Neurospora crassa OR74A: one gene and its partner. The protein of the gene in region 1 interacts with the protein of each later gene in a pairwise test. Links are inferred from orthologs where the notes say so. Each region holds a gene or a part of one and is shown on either strand. Other genes may lie near its edges.

Evidence for each region.
Region 2: the proteins of NCU01571 (region 1) and NCU07509 interact in binary tests that used the Saccharomyces cerevisiae proteins (3 or more experiments, as listed by UniProt). The link is inferred for Neurospora crassa OR74A from reciprocal best matches to the Saccharomyces cerevisiae genes BET4 and BET2.

The regions. Positions count from the first base shown.
Region 1 is NC_026502.1:3,049,221-3,053,044, reverse strand, and holds NCU01571 (hypothetical protein), read right to left. Parts: upstream 2,373-3,824; 5' UTR 2,287-2,372; coding exon 2,278-2,286; intron 2,202-2,277; coding exon 1,334-2,201; intron 1,249-1,333; coding exon 866-1,248; 3' UTR 739-865; downstream 1-738. Other genes in the region: NCU01570 (hypothetical protein), read left to right, coding at 1-192; NCU01572 (WD domain-containing protein), read left to right, coding at 3,729-3,824. UniProt on the Saccharomyces cerevisiae protein: Catalyzes the transfer of a geranyl-geranyl moiety from geranyl-geranyl pyrophosphate to proteins having the C-terminal -XCC or -XCXC, where both cysteines may become modified. Acts on YPT1 and SEC4.
Region 2 is NC_026501.1:354,778-358,421, forward strand, and holds NCU07509 (geranylgeranyltransferase beta subunit), read left to right. Parts: upstream 1-1,625; 5' UTR 1,626-1,644; coding exon 1,645-2,077; intron 2,078-2,145; coding exon 2,146-2,765; 3' UTR 2,766-3,114; downstream 3,115-3,644. UniProt on the Saccharomyces cerevisiae protein: Catalyzes the transfer of a geranyl-geranyl moiety from geranyl-geranyl pyrophosphate to proteins having the C-terminal -XCC or -XCXC, where both cysteines may become modified. Acts on YPT1 and SEC4.

The DNA of each region.
Region 1 (3,824 bases):
AAGATCGATGGAGACTTGCTGCGGCGCGGCACTTCCTGGCAGCGGTTCAAGTTTTGGCGGACGCGGGATGCGGGGTTTAGACTGAGGAGGCGGGAGCCTTTGTTGGAGAGAAGGGAGTGGTTGGGCTTGAAGAGGAGGGAGATGGCTGGAGAGGTGCCGGTTAGTGTTGCCGATGCTTTTAGGAGTGATTAAGCGGGGAAGACATGTGTGGAGGTAGGAAGATGTGTGACACTTGACTGTATATTTTGTATTAATCTTGATGCATACGATGGTTGTAGAATCGCATTACACTCAGAGTTACAGATAGAGAACTACCTTGGGAAAATTCTCCAACGGACAAAAACACCCAGACCAATACCACTCTGCATCAACGCCAATTTTAATTACCCGTTATGTATCCATTTCGTCCCCATTTTTCCTCTTTCCTTCTTCTCTCATCACTCCCTTCACCATTCCGTTTGTTATGCTATCCTGACTTTATTCAACCCAAACAAAGCCATGAGGGGTAAGACAAGCCAGCCTACACTGACGTTGCCGAAACTTCCAACGCCGGCATGGACTCGATGAAAAGGTCCCCTGGTTGGCAAACAGGGGGCAACTTTGAGCAATCAAAGAAAAGTGGAGGATCTCAGTAAGGGTCAGTTAGTGGTTCTGTCGGTAGAGGAGACGAGATAAGAGATGGTCATGCGGCCGATGCCATGCCATGCCATGCTATGCCATGCCATGTATGCAGTACCCGTACCACGTGCACACCCGAACGGCCGCCGGCATCAGGAAGGCTGGGGATTGCATAAGGTTCGGTAATATATGCTTATTGCACACAAGTATTGAACAAGTACACACACAAATTGTACACACACACACATTACTCTTTCAATCCCAAATCCCTCTCCAAATCCGCCCACCTTCCACTCCGCATCGGATCCAGCTTCTTCAAGTTTCCCAACCAGCCCTTCAGGTCCTTCTCTTCCTGCTCATTCGGCTTTCTCCCCTGCAGCTGACAGAGATAAAGGGTATAGTCGAACAAGGCCTCATAAATCAACTTGGCGTCGTCGTAATCTTCCAACAGCTCCTGGATGCTCTCGATTTCGCGGCGCAGGTACGTGACGCGCTCCTCTTGCGTGAAGGCGGGGGCGATGGTCGGATGCTCAGCAGAGTTGACTAGGTTCAGCATGAGGAATTGGTGGTAGTACCAAAGGGATTGATCGTCGGGGCCGACGTTGATTGCTTCTCCTATTTTGTTGAGTTCTAGTATACGGACGTGGTTAGTTCTCATCCGACCGATTTTTCCCATTTGGCTAACGTAGTGACGGGAGGGGGTGGGAAAACTGACCTTCTTCAAAGAAAGCCTTCCGCGCCTCATCATTTGCGTTTCTCTCATCCAGCAACCGCGGGATGAGCTTGCTTCGCGAGTGCCAGGCCGAAAAGTTGGAGAGGTTCTGTGAAATCTTCTTGGTCGTGAACTCAAACTCTGACTCGACAAGACTCTTGCCTTCCAACTCTGGACTCTCCAGCTGCTCCACCACGTGCCGCCTGTATCCCCAGGCGTGGAAGTTGCGCTGGTCTCGCAGGAGCATCTTGGAGGTCAGACCCAGTTCTTCCTCCCATATGTTTCGCGCTACAGGGACCGGCAGTCTTTCAATCACCTGCTTGAGGATCCACAGCCGGTAGCTCCAGATCCAGTAGCATTTTGGCGATTCGAGGAGGAGCGGAATGGTAAAGTGCAGTTCCTTCTGGAGTATTTGTTGGTCGTTCTGTTGATCCTGCTGCCGCGTCTGCTGCTTCTGTTCCTCGTCGTCCTCAGCTGTTATACCACTCTTCCCAGTTGTCTGGGACTCGGGGGCGGGCGGGGTCTCGGTCGACAAAGAGGAGGAGAAGTCGGCGGAAGAGGTTGTGGTAGTGGCGGTCGGAGAAGAAGTCGGCAACGCCTTCGAGGGCGAGGAGCCAGGCGAGGGCTTGGACAATAATCCAGAGATTAGGCAGCGCCTGCGGACGTTCCATACTGTGTAGTACTCGGGGTTGAGGCGCAGGAGCTTGGAGGTGAGGGCGAAGACGTCGGAGGAGTAGTCGTTCTTTGCGGCGTGATGGCGCACCTGGTCCTCAAGAGCGCGGTAGTCCTTGATGCGCTCGAGGTCCTTCTGGCGCTGCTCTTCGGTGCGCGTTCTCGAGGTGCGGGCTATGCCGTGGTTCGATCCGCCTTGCTGGGATGCGTCTCCCCATCAGTCAACAGCCTGCCAAAGTACCTAGCGTCTAGACTGGAGTCCGGTTGTGTCTTACATCGGCCATGATACTGCTATCAACTGTCAACGGGTTGGTTTCAGGGGCTAGGTTGGATGGGAAATCGGGGCTTGCCTGAAAGGCACATACATGTTCCGTAGCCTTTGATGAGGTGACGTCGGAGAGGATGGGACGGGGCAGGCAACTGCTAACAGCGCGCTATGCCTACTGTGGTGTAGCGTCGTATGGCAATGCCGCTGGTTACCGGGAGAGCCCTGGCCTGTGTGAAGGCTTGGCGCAACAGCTCCAGTGCGAGTGGGACGTAATGAACGAGCTTATCGGTCTTATCGTGGATGTCAGTTACAATAACATCATGCAGGAACGAACTTCCACACCCAATCCTCCGTTCCTCTTTCCATCTTTCAACCCTTTTGATTCTGTGTTGTGTCTGGTCCTGGATGTGCCTGTGGTTCTTACCAACAGAACAATTACTTAATGTCTACTACTACCGACCTTGGGCATCGTGCCTTCTTGATATGGGAGAATGGCCAGCATCCTGCAATGGATTGCAGTCAAAACAAAATGTCCACCCCAACTGAACCTCGCCGGTCTCGGCATGGTCTCGTTGGGACTCACCCGTCCTCTGCCTATTCAGAGTTACTCTTTCCTATTGTGCAGACTTGGGATGACAGAGTTTTCGCTCCAACTGACCCGATCTTGCCTGCCTGTTTGACCTGTTATTGCTGAGTGTTCAGTCATCTCATGAGTTCCCTGTGCCTGACTGACCTCCTGATTGACCAGCAAACTTCTTCCACTTGAACCTTCGAGGTTGACAAACGAAACTGAACTTACTACTTCATCACAACCTGCTTCACATCCGGGGGCGTTCTTGCACTCACACACACAAACACTCACTTCACTAGGATATTGCGCTTCATCAATCAGTTGAAATGGCCGGCGTGGACGTCTAGGTGACGCTTTCTCAGTTTCGACATCAGTCTTCCCTCACAGAAAACTGCTGACCTCAACCTCATCGTCAACCCCCCCCAAATACGCCTCCTCGACTCCATCTTCTTTTCCTCCTGCTTCTTCCTAGGAACACGCACCCGGAATTATTACTACGCTTCCACCACCATAGCAGCAGCACTACTAACAATACCAGCATTTGAATACGGTTACTATCCTCGGACGGCGACTCGAGCACCGTTCGAGCACACCGACGACAAGTATTGCTTCTCGTCCAGGTTCTCGCACACAGCTCGACGTCTTTGTCGCTCCACACGCCCTTCGTTACCAGCAGATTCTCCCGGTTCTTATCATCACCATCTATCACTTCATTCAACCGACTTCACCAAACAATCTCATCACTCCAGCTTCGACAACCTGTGTGGTCTCGAGCTTGATGGGACCGGTTCACTAAACATTCTTTTTCCAGCTCATCTTTTTCTCACTTGAGGTCTGCTACTCGTGCTATCATCAGTACCTCGGTATATATCGGCTGTATCTTCGCTATGGGCAACGACAACAGCAATCGTGGCTCACGAGCCTTCGTTCCTGGGCCCACAGGCACAATGACATTTCACACGCCTTTTCCCCTGCTCCAAGAA
Region 2 (3,644 bases), on another chromosome or scaffold:
ATGTAGACCTTACAAGAAAATGTCACTACAGCAAGGTGCAGCAACCCATCACAAATGGCGCATATACGCGTAATGTTTTGTTCACCGTCAGCTCCAATCGATCGCTTCTTCTCTGTTTTTTTTATGGTGTCCCTGTTCTGGGTGTTGCTCTCCGTCGGCTGTCACGGCGTTTGAGAGTCTGGAGGGCCTGGCCGGACTACACCAAGTCCATTTCGGGACTAGCTCCAGGAACACCGCGAGGCCAAGCCCGAAACTGTTGCTGTCCTTTCTCGATTCTCACTGGCTGCTCAACTGTTCTCTCGTCCCATTTGCTGGACGGCCATGTCTTCCGCGACAAGCGCTGTCTCCAATCCGACAGGACGGGTTCAACGTTGCTTCCAGCGCTTCACTGCAACTTTTCTTTTTTTTCACCAAACTTTGAGGTCTTTTGTTGAATCATATGACGGCATCATGTTGAATATGTGAATCAAGGGCAAACAATCGCGTCGAAACATGCCCTACAGCTACCTATCAAAAGTCTGGAACTCTACCGGAGACTTGGGCCTTGCTTTCCGGTGGTTTCAGCCACCACCTCCCGTTCCTGGACTAAAGAGTCTCGATTCACAAGTGACATAGATGCATCACGGCAAGATTCGACCTGGGCAGTCCACGTTGCAAAGTCCAAAACACCAAGCCAAGACCCGTCACCGAAGGCGTCTCGATCATGATTGCACGAGACCGTGATCTGCTGCAAGGACTACATAGTGTAAAGCTGCACTGCACTTACCCTGGCCAGATCTCGTAACATTGGACCGCATTCTTTTTTCCGATTTGACGGCCGTGGAAGAGGCTGGATGGCCGGACGTTGTTGCGCACTTGCGCCAGTCATCGACGTTGACGGTCGCAACGTTCGCTTCGAGATACGGTCTCAAATCGGCTGTGACACCGGTGTGCCCTACTCTACCCCCCCATGTAAACGAGAGGATACCGATTCGAAGCGCCGGTCAGATTCGTCATCTTGAAGCGCAAATTGGCCCAAGCAGGCATTCCAAACTGCCATCGTATGTCAACCAGCTGTTTTCGAGAAACAAGATCGTCACGCCTCATCAGGCTGTGGACAATGTCCCAAGTGGGTGGTGAGGGATGTCTTCCAGTTCAATTTGGATGGAGAGACAAATGCCTTCACCCCCCTGTACGATGACTGTTCGTATCCTCATCTTCAGCGCCGGTGCACTGTACACTTACTCGGTACGACTGCTGCCCAACCTATCAGCCCTTCATTTAAAAATAATCACGACATTCATGAGATGAAGCTCATTTACCTCATTTGCACTCGCGAGAGATCCCAAAAATCAAATGACTCTCGCAAATACGCGTGTCCCGCCTTTGGGGCATCTGCCAAGGTCACAAGAGATGATGAATTTGTCGGAGCTCTGATGATAATTGTCATTGCGCCTTTCCTCCTCCAGATTGAGCAAGTTGGAGAGGGCATTTCTTGGCATGGCGTCTGAATGGTGCAGTGTGGCTGCCAAGTACCGATTACGTAAGTAAGACCTCAGCGTCCATCTATGGTGGGGTAGTACCGGCGGGCAATGGAGGCTGAAGGGAATCGTTCAATCGTAACTCCGACTTCCGACTTCCGTTCCCACAATGCTGGTTCCTTGAATGCAGCCTAATCCCATCCAAGCTTCCACCCACCGCACCACACATAAAACCCTCAAATTCTCCAACATGACACAAAGCTTCACCTCTCTCCCGCAAGAGCTGCAGCTCGCAACCTCTGCCCACGTCAAGTACATCCAGAGTCTCGACTCCCGAAAGGACGAATATGACTACTGGTTGACGGAGCATCTGCGTCTCAATGGCCTCTACTGGGGCTTGACCGCTCTGCACCTCCTCGGCCACCCCGAGGCTCTCCCGCGCGCTGAGACCATCGACTTTGTGCTATCATGCCAGCACGAGAACGGCGGCTTCGGAGCGGCACCCGGCCATGATGCCCACATGCTGTCCACCGTCAGTGCCGTGCAGATCCTCGCCATGGTCGACGCCTTTGATGACCTCGAGACGCGTGGCCGGGGCAAGGCACAGGTCGGAAAGTGTGCGTTGCTTGTCATCAAACCTAGGTAAACCCCCATTGACACTTTGTACTGACACTGTCGGGTCCAGATATTGCCAGCCTCCAGAACCGCCAGACCGGCACGTTTGCGGGTGATGAGTGGGGTGAGGAAGACACTCGCTTCCTTTACGGCGCCTTCAATGCCCTTTCTCTTCTTGGCCTCCTTCACCTTGTCGATGTTGACAAGGCCGTTGACCACATTGCTGCGTGCGCCAACTTTGACGGCGGCTACGGTGTCAGCCCTGGTGCCGAGTCCCACTCTGGTCAGATCTTCACGTGCGTCGCTGCCCTCACCATTGCTGGCCGCAAGGAGCTCATTGACGTTGATCGCCTGGGCCGCTGGTTGAGTGAGAGGCAGATCGCTGGCGGCGGCTTGAACGGTCGTCCGGAAAAGAAGGAGGACGTGTGCTATAGCTGGTGGGTGCTGAGCAGTCTGGAAATGATTGGCAAGACGCACTGGATCGACAAGGCGAAGCTCACCAGCTTCATCCTGAGCTCGCAAGACACGGACAAGGGTGGCATCTCGGACAGGCCTGGCGACATGGTGGATGTCTGGCACACCTGCTTTGGTATTGCGGGTCTGAGTTTGCTGGACTATCCGGGCTTGGAGCCGGTTGACGAGGTGTATTGCATGCCCAAGTCGACCATCAAGCGTGTCCTGGGTCGTTAAGTGTGGTGTGATGTTGTCGGAATACAGTACGATGGCTCCTTCTATCAATCTCATCATCGTGACATGACACAGGATATCAACACAACTTACCTCCTGCCATCTAATAACCTTCCGACACGCACTCCAGGCGTCGGCAGGATACAAGGCGGGAGAAGAGAAACATCGTTCTCGTTTGGGCAAAAGACGTTATTGCATCCCTTCAGTGGGAATGTGAGGCGTTTGGAGCCCAGATGAGTAACTCCCTACTGGTTTATTGTTGCTTGAGAGTACCCAACATCAATCGACATGGTTAGGTAGGGGACATTCCATAGTGTTCCTATAATACAATTTTCTGTCACTTGAACCACTCGCACATTCTGTCTTTGTGTTGTCACTGTCTAATTGTCTACCTTTGCTCCTTGATGTTCTTGTTGGCACTCTTTGGTGTGTTCAATTCTTCTGACATTTGCAACCCAAGGCATAAAGCCATGATCCCTTCATCGTTTCCTTCGTCTTTCAAACTGAATTGTTCCTTGAGCTTTGTTTGAATGTAATGACCTGTTACTGCATCTACCCGTCTCGCAGCTTGGTCGCCTACCATTGGACAATTAGTTGCTGACTTGATGGTATCATTGAGAACAGTTTGAAGAAGTTGCCCGTTTGTTACGTTACCGTTGATTGAGATGCAGGGACATGAAATAGTCTCACCAACGACACTTGCCTTTGACATCAACAGTGAGTTCTATGAGCTGATAGCAAGTTTTCTCAGGCAACCTGGACACCTCTCGGGGCCGAAGATTAATCAACTTTTCCTGCGACTTCCTCCAGAAATCGTGATTTATTACGTTACAGTACCGCACTGCACACTCACCTTCCAGACTCACCCCTCCAAATCCGTGA